Linked DNA regions of Drosophila melanogaster. The protein of the gene in region 1 interacts with the protein of each later gene in a pairwise test. Each region holds a gene or a part of one and is shown on either strand. Other genes may lie near its edges.

Evidence for each region.
Region 2: the proteins of Dap160 (region 1) and nwk interact in a two-hybrid assay, tested with the Drosophila melanogaster proteins (one study listed by BioGRID).

What each region holds. Positions count from the first base shown.
Region 1 is NT_033779.5:21,139,235-21,144,162, reverse strand, and holds the start of Dap160 (dynamin associated protein 160), read left to right. Parts: upstream 1-1,815; 5' UTR 1,816-1,924; intron 1,925-2,150; 5' UTR 2,151-2,374; coding exon 2,375-2,538; intron 2,539-2,610; coding exon 2,611-2,985; intron 2,986-3,154; coding exon 3,155-3,594; intron 3,595-3,672; coding exon of another isoform or gene 3,673-3,684; coding exon 3,685-3,946; intron 3,947-4,006; coding exon 4,007-4,154; intron 4,155-4,220; coding exon 4,221-4,487; intron 4,488-4,560; coding exon 4,561-4,928. Other genes in the region: pths (porthos), read right to left, coding at 1-151, 341-599, 660-857.
Region 2 is NT_037436.4:9,135,810-9,140,951, forward strand, and holds the start of nwk (nervous wreck), read left to right. Parts: upstream 1-2,050; 5' UTR 2,051-2,080; exon of another isoform or gene 2,081-2,155; intron 2,156-2,772; 5' UTR 2,773-2,867; coding exon 2,868-2,888; intron 2,889-2,963; coding exon 2,964-3,193; intron 3,194-3,283; coding exon 3,284-3,811; intron 3,812-4,096; coding exon 4,097-4,979; intron 4,980-5,041; coding exon 5,042-5,142. Other genes in the region: Use1 (unconventional SNARE in the ER 1), read right to left, coding at 49-92, 492-848, 943-1,294. UniProt on the Drosophila melanogaster protein: Adapter protein that provides a link between vesicular membrane traffic and the actin assembly machinery. Acts together with Cdc42 to stimulate actin nucleation mediated by WASp and the ARP2/3 complex.

The DNA.
Region 1 (4,928 bases):
TTAAGGTTAAAACCTTTCATGTTTTCTAGATGATCAACCAAGCGACCCGGTGTGGCAATTATAATATGCGGCTTCTTGGCCAGTTGAAGACCCTGGGCTACCATGTCCATGCCGCCGACTACCACGCAACACTTTATGCCAATCCCGCTACCTGAAAAAAACAGAGCTAGCATAAGTTTGGCAGAAGGAAATTCAAGAATACGATAAATGGGAAGGTTTTTTTACTCAGAGGTAGTGACGAATAAGAAAATTATAATTTCATATTTTCGTTGATACACAAAATCAAAACAGGTTTAACATCACTGCGAATTAAAAGCACATAAACTATGCGAAAACTCACCAAGGGCTTCAAACTGCTCGCCAATTTGAAATGCCAGTTCCCTCGTGGGGGTTAGCACGAGGGCAAAATACCGCTGCGGATTCTCGAGAAGGGCGTGTAAAATTGGCAGAGCGAAGGCGCCCGTCTTGCCGGAACCGGTCTCCGCTAGGCCAATTACATCCTTGCCCTGTAAGGCGACCGGAATGGCCTCACGTTGGATCTTCGAAGGCGCCTTCCACTTCAATTCGTCACATGCTTGACACAAAGCCTCATTGAGACCCTTTGAAGAAATATGGCCATTCGATTAAATTTTAATTTAAATTAATAGTGGGGCTCATACGAGATCTTTCCAGGTTAGCTTCTGTTCCTCGGCTGCGTCGTCCTCGGAGCCTTTATCATCTTCACCACTTAGTGCCGCCTCGCTGTCCCCTTCCTTATGATTGTTATCTTCATCTTCCTGCTCCTCCTCGCTACCTAGATCCTCCTCTTCGTCACTCGTTTGTAGCTGCGTCTGTTCGTCCTCTGAAGTTTCCGACATTTTGTTACATGAGTTTCAGAAAAATTTCACGGTACGGACATTACCAATAGCAGCACGTGGTCGAAATAAAAGAATTAGAGGCGGTAAAATAGAAATAGAACTATTTGCGATATTATCGATATAGTTGCGTCTTTAAAACAGTGCAGATTCATGATAACTTTCGATAGCTAATGTGCGATATATCACATGCACACTTAATAAAATTTGTAACTCATTCATACTGAACCATGATCTTAATTACAGGACTTAGTTATAGTGCAAATAGTTTGTTTCGGAAATATATTCACATTTGTATAAAATCGTAATTTGTTAGAAAATTGTTTAATATTGTGATTTTGTCATTTCAGTTAATATAACAATGTTTGAAAATAGATGGTGAATACAAATTTGGTATACATCTTTTTCCATCGCGCAATTTTAAATTAATGAAACGCCAATTAGAGGGTTGTCTGTCATGAACTGTCAACGAATAAAAACTGTTTGACATTTTCATACACAAATGTTATTGATGCTATTATTAACAATTCCGTTAAATCCGGAACAAAAGATTTCTGAATAATTGTCATTTTTAATTGTATAGAAATATTAAAGACAATAAAAGAAAAAAATAGTTGAAATAATTTAACTGACTTGTACTTAACATTTTCTTATAATTTTGGATATTCGAATTTTAATCTTCGATTTTGTTTATTGCGATCTGTTGATGTTTTGGTTAGGTATACATTTTCGTATTGTGTTAAATGCATCATACTGCCGACATAATTTTTATGAGGTTCACTGTAGAAGTAATATAATTAATATATTACTCATAGTCAGTAGTTGTTTCATTTATTTAAAAATCCGTTAGCGGCTAAAAACAAAAACGTTGCAGAATAGTCACATCCAACTTAAGGTCACCGTACTTTTCAACACTTGCTTGCTATAATCACAGAAACAAGCGACGGTCACCCTCCTTCGATTATTAGTCCGTACCTATCGGAGCCTATCGTTCGTCGATATAGGATCCTATCATATAAAATATTGATTAAAATTTACGCAAATACAAAATTTTCTTGTTCCGATGAAAAGTAAGCAACAAAATTACAGTTAAGAGGGATATATAAGAGAATAACGTGTGCGTTGGCGGGGACCATACCACATCATTACTTATCAGTTAATTCGTGGCTATGCGGTTGACAAGTGAAAACGCCTACTAAAGAGAAACTAAAACCTTCAGAAAGCGAGTAAAGGGGGCAATCTATCTTTACAACCTGTCCATTGAGATCGCTTAATATTTTTGGAAATGCTTTATAGGTAAACCATAAAAATCCATTGTGAAAATTTGTGGGGGTGGTGGATACTGAATAGGCGATAGACGTAGTAAAGAGAGCGGCGAAAAGAGTGCGGAGCGAAAGAGTTTGTATTTGATGTGTACTCAAAAGTAGCCGAAGAGAGCGCACTAATACACACGCATACGGAAAAAGGACGATAAAGAGGAAGAGCTTTCCGTGGAAACTAGGATAAAGTGTTTGCCCAAAATGAACTCGGCGGTGGATGCGTGGGCTGTGACCCCGAGGGAGCGTTTGAAGTACCAGGAACAGTTTAGGGCACTCCAGCCGCAGGCAGGATTCGTTACCGGCGCCCAGGCCAAAGGGTTCTTCCTGCAGTCCCAGCTGCCGCCCCTGATCCTGGGCCAAATATGGTATGTATATTACGCCCCCATGAATCATCCACCGATAAGAGTGTTAATTCTTACTCATTTTCTTATCTCCAGGGCTCTGGCGGACACTGATTCCGACGGCAAGATGAACATCAATGAGTTCAGCATAGCCTGCAAGCTTATCAACCTCAAGTTGCGCGGCATGGACGTTCCCAAGGTTCTTCCTCCCAGCCTGCTGTCGTCTCTTACCGGCGATGTCCCCTCGATGACGCCACGTGGCTCCACAAGCTCCTTGAGCCCTTTGGATCCACTCAAGGGAATAGTTCCGGCAGTAGCTCCAGTTGTTCCCGTTGTGGCTCCACCGGTGGCTGTGGCTACTGTCATTTCACCGCCTGGAGTCTCAGTGCCGTCTGGCCCCACACCCCCCACCAGCAATCCACCTAGTCGCCACACGTCTATCTCAGAGCGAGCGCCATCGATCGAGTCTGTGTAAGCATCACTTAGAATCGAATTAATGATTTAATATTATTAATGTAGCAAAGAAGAGATAATTTAATTAATTAAATTTCAAATATTCTTAGTTATTGAAATATTAGCAAAAACATATATATAATATCGTATCTGTTCTTAACTCCTCAATCAACTTCTATCCTTTTAGCAACCAAGGAGAATGGGCCGTTCAAGCTGCCCAAAAGCGTAAATACACGCAGGTGTTCAATGCTAATGATCGCACCCGATCTGGTTACTTAACTGGATCCCAGGCACGCGGCGTTCTCGTACAGAGCAAGTTACCCCAGGTCACGCTGGCCCAAATCTGGACGCTGTCCGACATCGACGGCGATGGACGGCTGAACTGCGACGAGTTTATTCTTGCCATGTTCCTATGCGAGAAGGCCATGGCTGGTGAGAAAATTCCGGTTACCTTGCCCCAGGAATGGGTACCGCCCAACTTGCGCAAAATAAAATCGCGACCGGGATCGGTCTCAGGGGTGGTATCCCGTCCTGGCTCACAGCCGGCCTCCCGACACGCATCTGTTTCATCCCAAAGCGGAGTGGGAGTCGTGGATGCTGACCCAACAGCCGGACTACCTGGACAAAGTAAGTGCTTAATTAACTCCGTTGCCAAACATGTGAATATATTCCATATATTAACACTTGTGATTTCGCGTTCACCAGCTTCCTTCGAAGACAAGCGAAAGGAGAATTATGTTAAGGGTCAAGCAGAGCTGGATCGTAGGCGCAAAATTATGGAGGACCAGCAGCGCAAGGAGCGGGAAGAGAGAGAGCGAAAGGAGCGTGAAGAGGCTGATAAGCGTGAAAAGGCTCGTTTGGAGGCCGAGCGTAAGCAGCAGGAGGAACTAGAGCGACAGCTCCAACGCCAGCGAGAGATTGAGATGGAGAAGGAGGAGCAGCGCAAGAGGGAACTGGAGGCTAAGGAGGCGGCCAGAAAGTAAGGACTTTTATCTTGCTTTGAGCGACAAAACAATGTATACAATTTCTATTGTATCAGGGAGCTTGAGAAGCAGCGCCAGCAGGAATGGGAGCAGGCTAGAATTGCCGAAATGAACGCACAGAAGGAGAGGGAACAAGAACGTGTTCTAAAGCAGAAGGCACACAACACCCAGCTTAATGTGGAGCTCAGCACACTGAATGAAAAAGTAATGTTCTTAAAGTACAACTAATCTATATGGCTGGCCTATCTAACTAACTCGGCTTAATTACAGATCAAGGAGCTTTCGCAGAGGATTTGCGACACTCGTGCCGGCGTGACAAACGTAAAGACCGTTATCGACGGAATGCGCACCCAGCGCGACACTTCCATGTCCGAAATGTCGCAGCTGAAAGCGCGGATTAAGGAACAGAACGCTAAACTGCTTCAGCTCACCCAAGAGAGGGCCAAGTGGGAGGCCAAGAGCAAGGCCAGCGGGGCTGCCTTGGGAGGGGAGAATGCGCAGCAGGAGCAACTGAATGCCGCATTCGCCCACAAGCAGGTGAGCTTTGGCATATACGTAAAGTTTTAGTATTCAACGGATTCTCTAAAATACTATTTACCTTTTTCAACAGTTAATTATTAACCAAATAAAGGATAAAGTCGAGAATATCAGTAAAGAGATTGAGTCAAAGAAGGAGGACATCAACACTAATGATGTACAGATGTCTGAGCTCAAGGCCGAGCTCTCCGCTCTAATCACAAAGTGCGAGGATCTGTACAAGGAATACGATGTGCAGCGCACCTCGGTGCTGGAATTGAAGTACAATCGAAAGAACGAAACTAGTGTATCGTCGGCCTGGGACACAGGCTCTTCCAGTGCTTGGGAGGAGACGGGTACGACTGTCACCGATCCCTACGCAGTTGCGAGCAATGATATCTCCGCACTGGCCGCTCCAGCTGTGGACTTAGGGGGACCGGCCCCAGAAGGATTCGTGAAATA
Region 2 (5,142 bases), on another chromosome or scaffold:
AGCTTGCTTAGAGTACAATCTTTAGTTTGCTTAGTTTGGAAATTGTTTCTACGACTTCTTCTTCTTCATAATCTTCATGAATAAAACCATACCTGTAAATTGAAAGGGTAATAAACTCATTAGTATAATTAAGCAGCAACAATCGAACTGCAATAAATCGAACCAATTAAGAAATGTAATTTCAAACTGAGTCACGGCAAACTTGTTTATTTGGCTTAAGTGAAGTGACTCGCAGTGTTTTCGTATTCAGTTTAAATACAATAATAATAGCAATGGAATCTAATATCTATTTATCTGTTTTCGTTCTTATAATGAATATTTATAATATTGTGATTAACATATTCAGGAAACTTGGTTTATAAACGTGTTTAAATGTGTGTTGTTGAGTTGGATAACTTAAGGTATATTTGTTAAGTAAATGAATTGGGATTTTCCAAGAGGGGTTCTTTTTTGCAGCTTGAACAAAACTTCCACAAAATACAATGACTCACCTATAAAAGTGGCAATTACGAAGGCAATCATCAGCCACAGCCAGCACTTGTAGGCTTTTTTCGAATGTTGCTCCAGTTTCTCAGCCTCTTTTCCTAGCGAATTGATATTGCGATCCGCCATTCCGGCGGAACGCGACACAACCTCCGTGTCTCTTCGGATAATCCTGTTGGCGGTCTCCGTCTGTTCCTTTAAGTTCCGAGTCAGCGAGAGCATGTGCTCGGTGATCTTCTCCTGGGCATTCGTATAATACTTGGCAGCCTGGTTCATGTTTTCACCAGAAGTTTCCTGAACGTTTGCGCTTCCAGAACTGGAGGAGGATTCATCTGCTCCTCGACGTCTTCGCAGGGCATCGGAATCTAAAATAAATGTTTTTTAAGTTATGAACTATTACATTTTTGAATTTAAGAAATTTTAAAATATGTACAAAACTGTTTGTTAATTCTTTATTACCCTGGAGCAGTTCCTTTCGCAGTTCGTTGTGATATTTGCTGTTTTGCAGCTGCCTTATTTCTTTCAGTGCATTTTCCCCAGTTTCGCTGACGGCTGAGGATTGTGAAGGAGTCTTTGTTGTGGAACCGGGAACGTCTGCATATCCGGTGGATATTTTAAGGGCCTGTAGGCGCTCCAAGTAGCCCGGGATACGTTTGACACTCTGCGGATCGCCCATCGCCTCCAGCTCGGCAAGCATTGTGTCCAGGGACTTAATGAACTTCTGCAGCCTCCAGAAGTTCTGTTCGCTTTTGGCCAGTTCCTCGCAGTTGGCCAGCAGGGTGCGAATATTTACATTTAGCTTCGTGGCCATTTTCAAGTTGAAAACATGAAAACAACAAAGTACAAATTCCTAAATTAAAATACCAGGTCGAAACCTATTTGTTGTCAGCAGCTGGTCCTATTAGCGATAGAAACTTATCGATAGGTTGTCGTGAGTAGTGATGAAAAATTATTGAGGATGTGTATGTAAAATGTAAGAATGTAAAAATGTATAAAGTAAAAAAAACATAACAAACAAATAATCTTCTAATCCTGTTAAAATTTAATTTTTAAAAATTTTTGAAAAAAAACATCAAGTTCCCAATATGCCATATTTATAAGCTTATGTCTACTTTCTCAAGATAACGTAATGCATTTATATTATTGCATGCATACTTCTGGGCGCGACTCGAAAATCTTATCAAACCTCTTGGCCAATATCTGAAGTTATCAATTAAACCGTTTTTGATAGCCACAGCATATGAGTAGTTTCACGCAAACGCACATTTTTGTTTTAGCTGTTGTCGTACGCCAGGTGTCAAGATCAAATGGCATACCATTCAAAGGTTGAATTTTTATAGTAGTTTTTTTTTCTTCATTTTCCTTAAGTGCCGTTACACGCAAGTGAGGTGTTATCAAACAGCTGACGGGGCAAAAACAATAAAACTCACCCTCTTTGTTAACGGTACTAGAGGCCATGAATGAAACACGACTTCGTTCTCTCTCGACTTTCTCTCACCGCTCTCTTTGGCGGTCTCTTCTTGCGCAGCAGCACCAGCAGTTAACGGTGCATGTTGAAAAGTTCTCACACAAACGTCGTGAAAATCGAAATCGATAAGTAAGCAACGGATTTTAGCTGCCCAGAAAAAGACCACAAATTTCAGTGAAAACCCAGCGATAAGAATCCCAAAAAGTACTAATCCAGCTGAAAAACAACCATCTTAACCGGCCATGTCCAAAAAAAGTGTTAGCCAAGTGTTTTGAATAACGTAGTTGGTGTAAATGCTTAAAAAAAATAAGCTAGTCCGGGGCCAGAGAAATCGATACGATACCCCCAAAAAAAGGGGGGCTGCTGCGTGGGCTGCCCGAGTGAAAATTTCCAGCTAAAAATAGTACTAGATTTGAGCTTGAAGAAAACCCTTGATTTCCTTTGCGTTTCGATGTCAGTTATCATTGCATTTCAGTTACATAAGTTTTGAGACCCGTTGCTGCGTAGCGAACCTATTAACGGCTTAAGGACCACACAACCACCCACATGTACCACCAACACCACCCATTTACACAGCCAAAAATAATCGGAAAATATATATATATAATAAATATCAGTAGGGCTACATTTTATCTAATCTTTAATTTGATAATGTTAGATTCTTTGATATAAGTCATGGCGTTAAAAATAAATCTCCCCTTTTAAGCCACTGAAATATAAATTTTTTTATATTAAAAAAATAAGATGGGATCTTAAATATCGTATCGTATTTTAATACCCGTATATCATATCCTCTCATAAAGCAATCATACTATTTACAGTTGCTAGAGGTAATGTAACACCATTAAGTCGGAGCTAAAATAGAAAAAAAAAGCCAATTGTAGAGTGACCCGATTGTCGTAGAAAAAGCCCCATGATGCAGCCGCCGCCGCGTAAGGTAAATCATAAATAAATCGAATTGATAAAGATAGTTCCACAATAATCATTCATCGTATACCTCGTAATCCTGCAGGGAAACTATGTGAAATTCCTCAAGAATTTGCACACGGAGCAGGTGGCCAAGCTGCAGCTGAAGAATCAGCATGAATGCGACCTCCTGGAGGACATCCGGCAGTTCACCATCAAGCGTTCCGCTGTCGAGAAGTCATACAGTGAGTCGCTGCTGAAGATCTCATCGCAGTATCTCAACAAGAAGATACCCAATATACCAGATATTAAGATGGAGGGCATGGAGGAACGCTGGTGGGTATTGCTTTCCAGCTAACTAGTAACGTTCTTTCGAGAACCTTCAGTCAATTTGAATTACCCACCTACTTATACGTAATCTCATAGGAACATGTGGAGCGTTTGGCGCACTGTGCTCGAGGAGAATGAGAAACTGGCTCGTGCTCGATTGGCCGCCATAGAGGTGTTTCAACAGCAAATCGCGGATGAGGCCAAGGTTCTGCGGGACTATAAGTTGGCCATAGCTAAGCGTTCGCTAGCCGGAATTGTCAATGTGCAGAAGGAACTCCATCTGAGCGTGGGCGATGTGGATAAGACCAAGAAATCATACTTTGACGAAGAGCATTGTGCTCACGATGTTCGGGACAAGGCCCGCGATATCGAGGAGAAGCTTAAGAAGAAGAAGGGCTCCTTCTTTCAATCAATCACTTCGCTGCAGAAGAACAGCGCCCGGGTCACATCTCGCAAGGAGCTGCTGGAGGAGAAGTCATCTGGCGCCCGGAATGACTACGTACTCAGCTTGGCGGCGGCCAATGCGCATCAGAATCGCTACTTCACCGTCGATCTGCAGACAACGATGACCACCATGGAGAACTATGTTTTCGAGCGGGTTGCCGAGTACCTGATGTTAATGGGGTAAGTGTATAATGGCATTGCTCATAAATTATAAACCATCCAGAAGTGCAAAATCGGTAAATCAATTATAAATTTTACAAGTTCAAAGCCATTTTCTAATCAATGTTTGCTCAAGTCGTCAATTACATTCTGATAATTTTTATGGCGCTACCTGATATGGCTCATAAAGTTATTAAATCATTTTATTTAATCTTATGACTCAATATGTACATATGTACATAACAGTGCTGTCTTAAGAAATCTTTATCTTAATGTTGCCTAACCATTAAAACACATCTTTTCCAGACGCACAGAGCTGTTGACTTGCTCGGCTACGCAGAATAGCTTCGGAAAGATCCGTGACCAGGCGCAGCAGTTGACGCGGGAGTACAACCTGCAGTGCTGCTACCTATTCTATCCGGTGCTGAAGCAGCACATCCAATATGACTTCGAGGCGTGCGACAATGATCCGGTGCGCAAGGTGACCGCGGAGCATGAGTCCGCCGCCGAGACGCTAACCAAGGAGGCCAAGAATCTGGCCGGAAGAGTGGTCAAGGAGAATGCCTCGATCAGGGAGAATGCCAAGAAGTTGGCCTTGTGCCAGTCGCTGCGAGACTCTGGCCAGCGCACGGATCCCAACGATCCAAATGGACCGGATCTGGACACCAAGATCGAGGAGTTCCGTGATCAAATCCGTCGATCCGAGACGGAAAAGACAAAAGCGGAGGCATGTCTGCAGTGCCTGCGCGATGGCGGCATTAACGTGGACGAGTGGGTGCAGGAGGCCGAGAATATGGGTGTACAGGAGCTGACGCGTTCGGCCAGTTCCATTTCGATGCGCACCGACGCCTCTGGCCAGGGCGAGAATCCCAGTTCCGATTCATTCTACGACAGCGACAAGGAGGAGACTCAGGCAGCTGCCCAAACGAAGCCCAAGCAGGAGCAACAGCTATCCAGGGATCGTACCTTCAGCGATAGTGAGGATGAGCCCGAAGTGCGTCCATCGGCAGCGGCAGCTTCTTCTGCAGCTGCTGCCTCGTCATCCATGATGGCCAGTAGCGCTGGTGGCTGGGATGATCCCACTGAGGTCAACTGGGGAGCTGGCGAGGAGGAGGACGACAAGGACGAACCGATTGTTCCAGAACCCAAGGAGGCGATCTTCAAGTGCACTGCACTCTACAGCTATACGGTATGTGAGCTTTAAAGAACTATATACTTTTTCTTGCCACTAATTTTTCACTTTTTCCACAGGCCCAGAATCCCGACGAGCTCACCATCGTCGAAAATGAACAGCTCGAGGTGGTTGGCGAAGGCGACGGCGATGGGTGGCTAAGGGCCCGCAACTATCGCGG